Diceros bicornis minor: one gene and its partner. The protein of the gene in region 2 interacts with the protein of the main gene of each other region in a biochemical or structural test. Links are inferred from orthologs where the notes say so. Each region holds a gene or a part of one and is shown on either strand. Other genes may lie near its edges. The genes, in order: CKB and ARIH2.

The links.
Region 1: of the proteins of ARIH2 (region 2) and CKB, one has a biochemical effect on the other in vitro, tested with the Homo sapiens proteins (2 studies listed by BioGRID). The link is inferred for Diceros bicornis minor from reciprocal best matches to the Homo sapiens genes ARIH2 and CKB.

What each region holds. Positions count from the first base shown.
Region 1 is NC_080763.1:48,175,378-48,179,280, forward strand, and holds the start of CKB (creatine kinase B-type), read right to left. Parts: upstream 2,988-3,903; 5' UTR 2,955-2,987; coding exon 2,762-2,954; intron 2,598-2,761; coding exon 2,443-2,597; intron 2,370-2,442; coding exon 2,237-2,369; intron 1,887-2,236; coding exon 1,715-1,886; intron 942-1,714; coding exon 818-941; intron 573-817; coding exon 383-572; intron 301-382; coding exon 122-300; 3' UTR 1-121. UniProt on the Homo sapiens protein: Reversibly catalyzes the transfer of phosphate between ATP and various phosphogens (e.g. creatine phosphate).
Region 2 is NC_080741.1:50,194,318-50,198,220, reverse strand, and holds the start of ARIH2 (E3 ubiquitin-protein ligase ARIH2), read right to left. Parts: upstream 2,370-3,903; 5' UTR 2,281-2,369; intron 1-2,280. Other genes in the region: SLC25A20 (mitochondrial carnitine/acylcarnitine carrier protein), read left to right, coding at 3,093-3,197.

The DNA of each region.
Region 1 (3,903 bases), on a different chromosome or scaffold from region 2:
ACAGCGAGGCTAAAGGCTCAGCTGCCAGGCAGTGAGCATCAGGGGTGCATGGCGGGCACTGCCCGGGCAATAAGTTAGGAAGCAGCAGGGCTGGTGGCGATGGCAGGTGCAGGCCAGGACTTCACTTTTGGGCGGGCACGAGGTCATCGATGGCCTGGCCCTGCTCCAGCCGCTGCTCCATCTCAATGAGCAGCTTCACGCCGTCCACCACCATCTGCACCAGCTCCACCTCCGAGAAGCCCAGGCGGTCTGCATTGGAGACGTCGAAGACCCCACCCACGGCAGCTGTGTCCACACCACCTGGGGAAACAGGAAGGTCAGCAGGGCTGGCAGGGGGCTGCCCCAAGGGAAGAGGACTGCCTGCTGCCCCTGCTCCACTCACCTGTGCCTCGCTTCTGAAGCCGCAGCCTCTTGAGCACTTCAGGGAACTTCTCATGCTTGCCCAGGTGGGGCAGCTTGATGTGGACACCTGCCCGCAGCCCTGTGCCCAGGTTGGACGGGCAGGTGAGGATGTAGCCCAGGTGAGGGTTCCACATGAACTCATAGTTCTTAGACTTGAAGAGCGTTTCAATCTGGAGGTGGAGAAGGCGTGAGAGGGGAGGCCTGGCTAAGACAAACCCCCAGGGGACCAGTGGAGAAGGTGAGACTGGGACCCAGGAGCCCTCTGGCAGGACCCGGAGGTGACTGAGACCTGGGATCCCCAGGGAGACAGATGGGGCACCGACATCCCTGCCTGAGCTCTGGGGTCCTGCCCTGCCCCCTCCCTGGCACCAAGCCCCTATGGTGCCAGCCTGGATTGGGGGTGACCAGGCCTGACCTGGGTGAGGCCGTTGCAGAAGCGGGTGAACACCTCCTTCATGTTGCCCCCCTTCTGCATGGAGATGACCCGCAGGTGGTCCTCCTCATTGATCCACACCAAGAAGGTCTTATTGTCATTGTGCCTGGAGGAGGAGCACAATCAAGCTTCCTCCCTGGACTGTGGTCTCAGGGCACATCCAGAAAAAATCTTTAGGGGGTCCCCAAACCTGAAGAACTTCCCAAGTGCCTAAGGCTCTGATTCCAGCTGTACCCAGGAGCATGGGCTGCTGCTAGGACCCCAGCCCAGTCCACATTCTAGGGGCAGGCAGAGAGGCCAGGACACCTCAGGGTATAAAAAGAGCCGTGAGCTGCTTCTCAGCCTGCCAGTCAGGTGCTGTGTGGCCCAAGTGCGGTGGACGGGGCAAGGTCCCCACCTAGGAGGTAAGCGGCAAGGGCAGCCAGGACAGCGCCCCCCGGAGGCGGGGAAGCGCTATATAGGTGCTGAAGCCCGCGCTACACAGTGCGGGCAGGAGGCTGTAAGCGCCCCCCCTCCACCCCCGCCGCCACTTGAGGAAGCATCTGCGTCACCCAGCACCCGGCAGAGTCCCGGCGGGGAAGCGGGGTGAGAAAGGGAGAAAACAAAAAGCTCCAGCTCCCAAGACGGGGTGGAGAAGAGAAGCCAATAGAACCCGTCACCCCCCTCTCTAAGATCCCGAGAGGCTGAGGCCTCCACCAGCCGGGATCCCTTTACGCACCTGCGTGGTCAGGTCAAGGTCACCTTCGAGGAGGCCTGGGCGGCACCAAAACCTGTACCGGGAGCGAGGCCCCTCCCTCTTCCTCCTCGGCCTCCGTGGGGGGAGGGTAGGGGAGAGGAGTGAGACGGTAAAGGGGGGGGCCCGCGGGAGGGGGCACGCACCAGATGCCGCGGGCGTCTGGCCAGTCGCGGGCCATGCCCGAGGCCAGGAGCAGGGGCGACACGGGCTTGTCAAAGAGGAAGTGGTCGTCGATAAGCTGCTGCTGCTCCGCCTCGGTCATGCTCTTGAGCGCGTAGTACCTGCCCGTCAGGTCGCCGTCCAGACTTGACAGGGCTGCGGAGGGGCGCGCTCAGGTGGACAGGCGGCCAAGCCCCTACCCCACACCCCCACCACCCCAGCGGTACGGACCCGCCCCACCTCCCCATGCCAACCCGGCTCTGTGGGACCCCAGTCCACGCGGTCCGGGCGGCGGCCAGAGGCGGTGACCCTGGCCCTCGCTGGGTCCCGGGCCGCCGTGGGCGCGGGGCCGGTCCCTCTGGCCCTCCGGGAAACCGAACCCGGCGCGCAGATAAGAGCGCGGCGGTGGCGGCGGCGGCTCGGGTGACTGGTAAACAAGCCGGGCGGGGACTGGAACGGGGTCCGGGACGGGGACGAGGAGGGGCGCCTGGCCTGCCGACCCCTACCTTCCACGGCGAGCTTCTCGATGGCTCGGCGCTCCCCGCGGCTGCAGTGCGGGGGGAGGCAGAAGCCGCGGATGCTGCGGCCCGTGCGCACCCGCGAGCTCAGCACGTAGTTGGGGTCCAGGTCGTCGCCGCCCTGGGGGCCGAGCGGCGGTGAGCGCCGGGAGACCCCTCCCCAGCCCGCCCCGCTGCCCTGGGCCGCCCCGCACCTGCAGGTTGTCGGGATTGAGGTCGGTCTTGTGCTCGTCGCTGGGCTTGTAGCCGCCGTGCCGGTCCTCGATGATGGGGTCAAAGAGCTCCTTGAACACGTCGTACGACTCCTCGTCGCCCGCCACGCAGCCCACAGTCATGATATAGGGGTGGCCTGGGGGGGCGCGGAATGGAGACAGTGACGTCACTGCCAGGCCTGAGTGAGCAGCTAAGGACCCTGCGGCTGCTCACGGGAACGGGGGTCACTGGACTTTCGCCCCCGGGGTGCCTTGCGGATAAGGCACGGGCACCCTGACCCTGGGTCTGGGGTGCGCGTACCTGGGTTGTCCACGCCGGTCTGGATGACGTCGTCCAGGGTGAAGCCGCTCGGCGTGCTCTTGGCGCGCAGCTCAGCGTACAACTCGGGGGTCAGCACCTTGGCCATGTGGTTATTGTGGCCGCTGAGGTCGGGGAACTCGTCCTCGGCCGGGAAGCGCAGCTTTAGCGTGTTGTGGCTGTTGGAGAAGGGCATGGCGGCGGCGGGCGGCGGGCTGCGGGAGACGCGGGGGTCAGCGGGGACCCGGCGCATCGAGCCTCCCGGAGACCTGCAAACCACCCAGGGCCCGGCAGCCGCAGCCTCCGGCCACCCTGGGATGCGGCCAAGGTCAGCGGGGTCCGCAGCGCGCGCAGGGGGGCCCGCACTGCCCAGGACCCCCGACATAGCCGGCGCGCGCGGGAAGGCGGCGAGCCCCGGCGCTCCTGGAGCGCGTGACGCCGGGGACCCCGCGTCCCCTTCATGCACAGCGCCCCCGGCCCCGCGCCGAGCGCGGCCCTAGGGCCCACTCACCGGGCGGCCGGGCGGAGGCAGGGGCGCTCTCTCCGTCGGCGGCTCAGGGCGCGGCGCAGGCGAACAGCGGCCGCTCCGCGCTCCCGCGGCTCTTAAGGGGCGCGACGCGGGCCGCCCATTGGCCGCTATTTATAGCCCATTCATTCCATTGGCCTGCACTGCGGGGTGGTGCCGCCGCTTTGTCCGCCGTCCGCAGCCCCCGACAACCCCCTAGGCAGCCCACCCTAGCTGTCTCCTCGCCGGGACGCCGCGCAGACAGCCTACCCCGCCCGCCGCCCGCCCAGGACCCCGAAATCAGAACCTCAGGCCCTTGGACATCCTGGAGTTACCCCCCCTACCCCCACTGCCTCTGGGCGGGAAACTGAGGCAGGAGAGCCACCCGGCACTTGAGGACGCCCAGGCTCGTCTGCACCCGGCTCCGGCCTTTCCTCGTCCCGCCAGTCCCCGCGGCGGCCGCGGCGAGGGGCCGGGCGACAGCGTCCTGGGCTTGCACAGCAGGTACTGCCTCTCCATGCCCCACCTCCCCGCCCCCAGCCCCGTCCGAGCTGGCCCCGAGCCGCCGACCTTCCTCAAGGTGCCCGCAGCCATCTCCCGGGCGATGTTGGTGCAGAGCGAAGGCGCGCGGGAGGCACAG
Region 2 (3,903 bases):
AGCTGTACTAAAGCCCTTTGAACCCACTTTCTAACTCACTCAACAATCATCTTTTTAAGCACCTACTGTGTGTTAGGCGTTACGCAACCTTACTTTACATTTTGTGAGCTGTCTCCTCACCTAGCTTGAACACTCTTCCTTCTATCTTGGAGGTTTTTTTTTTTTTTAATAATTTTATTTATTTATTTATTTCCCCCCCCAAAGCCCCAGTAGATAGTTGTATGTCATAGCTGCACATCCTTCTAGTTGCTGTATGTGGGATGCGGCCTCAGCATGGCTGGAGAGGTGCGTCGGTGCACGCCCGGGATCTGAACCTGGGCCGCCAGCAGCGGAGCGTGCGCACTTAACCGCTAAGCCACGGGGCCGGCCCTATCTTGGAGGTTCTTAACAATGGATGCTTCTCAAACTCAGCCACAGAGCTTTAAACACTCTTGTGCCAGAACTCAATTTCAGAGATTCAGAATCAGAGCCCTGGAAATTTCAGGGCATTTAGAAGAAGCTTGTCAGATGATGCCACACACACCAGATACCACTCCCAGCACCTCAAGGACCTTGTCTTATCAGCTGCACTTTCTCCTTTCTAGATATTTCTTTCAGCCTCAGTCTCATCTTAAACACTGAAATCTAAACCCTTTAACCCATTGCTCCTTTCTTTTCCCTGCCAAGCTCCTTGAACCAGTAATTGACTCTCAGTGCCTCTGCCTTCTTGCTGCCTGTTCAGTATTCAATCCACCACTGTCAACACTATGGGAAAACTTCTTCTAAATGTCACCAATGACTAATAGTTAAACCTAATGAGGGGGCCAGCCTGGTGGCATATAGTTAAGCTTGTGTGCTCCACTTCGGCGGCTTGGGGTTCGCTGGTTCAGATCCTGGACGTGAACCTACACACCACTCATTAAGCCATGCTGTGGCAGCATCCCACATACAAAAAATAGAGGAAGACTGGCACAGATGTTAGCTCAGGGTGAATCTTCCTTGTACAAAAACAAAACAAAACAACCAAAAAAAACCTAAGGAGCATTTAAAATTCCCTAGCTTACCCAGCATTTGACTGTTTCATCCCTTGGACTCAAAGGCACTATTCTCTGTTTTCTTCTAAAACTCTAACAGCAACTTCTGCTTTGGGAGCTCTTCCTTCCATGCCAGCCCCTCTTCCCATAGTACAGTCTTCCAGGGGTCATATATACATCTTTATGCTGAAAACTTCCTGGCTTCTGTCCCTGGCTTTCACCTCTCTCCAGGTTCCCAAGTTGTATACCCGACACTGACCAGGTATGTCCCCCGATGTGCCATGGGCACTGCAATTGCAGTGTGTCTGAAACCCAGAGCTGCTGCAGGTTTTCTGGTAATGCCTCTGGGTTCTATCCCCTTTTCCATCCTTCTATGATCCCTGCTTCAGTTCATGCCTTCACCGCCTCTTGCCTGGACCACTGTAATTCTCTCTTAACTGGTCTCCCTGCTTCCAGTCTATCTCGACACAAAATCATTCATGCAAAATAGATTTCCTAAAACAAATCTGATCATGTCACCACTGTGCTTAAAATTCTTCCATGGTTCCCCATCACCTCCTAGAAAAAGCCTATAGCACAGAGTAGATAGGCTTTTGGGTCTTGTCCCAGCCTCCTTGCCCTCCACTCCCCTACAGGTTTTCTGGACCAGCCAGACCCAGTCACTTCCTGATCCCAGTCCTGATCCTGTTACTCATCTTTCCACCCCCAGCACACATGGTCCATATTCCCCTTTCCTAGCTTCCCTCTAGCCTGGGAGTGCCCACAGAGAAAGACTGTTATCAGGTCAGCTTGGCAGTGAGGTACCTGCTACAGCTTTTTAACCTGAAAAATTTCAAACATACAGAAATGATGAAAGAATAATATAGTGAATACTTGGATACTGTCCACCTAGAGTCAATAAGGTAAAAATATTAGCATCATCCTTAACTCCTCTCTCACATACCTTAAATTCTATTCATTAACAATTCCTTTAGATTCTTTCTTCAGAATATATCTAGAATCTGAACACTTCTCACCACCTCCTTTGCTATGCCCTGATTCCTGCCAGCATCTCTGACCATGACCTTTAGCCTTGTCAAGGCTCCCTGCTTCTTCCTTGCTCCCTACAGTCTATTCCTACCCAGCAGTCAGAGGGATCTTGGCAATTCATAAGTCAGACTATGTCACTCCCCTGCTCTAAATCCCAAAATGGCTCCTGTCTCCTTCAGAGGAGAAGCTGATGTCCCCACAATGGCACACAAAACCCAGTTTGATATGCCACCATTACCTCCATGTCTTCACCAGCTACTCCTCCTCCTCTCCTTCACTCTGTTCACAAAGGCCTCCCTGTGGTTCCTCAAACAGGCAGGGCACAGCACATCTCCGGGCTTTTGCGTTTTCTTTTCCTCTGCCTGGAAGGTCCCTCACCCTCCACCCCATATGGACAGGATATGGGGTGGAGGGTGAGGGACCTTCTATGGCAGTCTATAGACAGAACTCTCTCACCGTCTCAGGTCTTGAATCCCTTACTCACCTAATTAAAATTGCAAATTACTCGACCCCTCATACTCTCTAACCCTATTTCCGGGTTTATTTTTCTCCATAGCAGTTATCACCACTTGATACACTACACATTTTTCACTTATCTTTGTTATGGTCTTTGTCATTGTTAAGCTCCACAAGGACAAGGCCCCGTGTGCTGTGCTACTAGCTCTAGAAGGGCGCCTGGCACACAGCAGAGCGCAATCGACTTCTGCGGAGTGAGTGGAGCAATGGGAGCCCAGAGGAGGAAACACTCAAATCCAGGACGACTTCCTGGAAGAGCGAGGCCACCTGCCGGCCCTTCCAAACAACTCGCAGACAGTGTCACGGCCGGCCCCTCTCCCTCAAGCCACGCCCATGAGGGCGGGTCCTCCGCCGGAAGCAGCTGCCCATGGCGGAAGCCGGGCCAGGCAGTCTAGGCCCTCCTCCCGACCTGCCCTGGGCTCATGTCCCGCCCACATGAAAGTGGGTGAAAGGTCGGCGGCGCCGGCGCTGCGTCTGGGGCGGTAGAGCGGGGCGGCCTGGGAACCGACAGGCACGTTGACGGACGGACGAGCCATGGTAGACCCGGCGAAGCCCATCAGCCCGCTCAAGAACCTACTGGCCGGCGGCTTTGGCGGCATGTGCCTGGTGTTCGTAGGACACCCGCTGGACACAGTCAAGGTGCGAGGGGGCTGGGGCGTGGGCTGGAGGGAGGAGGCCCGGGCGAGGCGCGGAAAGCAGGGTCTGCGTCGAGACGTGGGCTCGGACAGAAGGGGGCCGGTCGGAGCTTCCCAGAAAAATCTAGCGAATCTCCCTTTCGCCCCTTTCGGGGGTCGGAGGAAGCTGTTCCTCGCGTCCCAAAGAGCCGGACCGCGCAAAGTGAGCGGCTTCTAACCGCTCAAAAGTTCTCTGTCCGGCAGCCTCTCCTGGCCTTGCACCACTTCTTTGGGGGTGGGAAAGAAAAAGTGCCTCCCCAAAGCTCTGATTTCAGCAAACCTTAACAGTATCAGCAAGATTGAAACAGGTCACCTGTAAAGCCCGCCTCAGGAAGAAAGCTCAAGACAGAGGCTGGATTATTCTAGAGATGTCTTTTGACACATTCCTCTGTTGCCAGAGTGCCTTGTCACCATCTCTTCGCTCCTTTCCCGCCCCAGAGGGGAGCTTGGCCATCTTTAGCCTGTCACCTCACATTACCCTGAGTGGCCTCCTGTGGGAAGCAATGATGTCCTCAGAGACTGAGCCCCTTCCAAGGAGAGCAAGTGACCAACTTTGCCCAGGGCCAGGCTGATCCTCACAACTCCCAGGTGAGGAAGCCATGGTCACACTGAGGCTCTAGAAAGGAGGAAACTCATTAGGGCTTGTTCCCTGGTCTTCCTCACATCAGGCC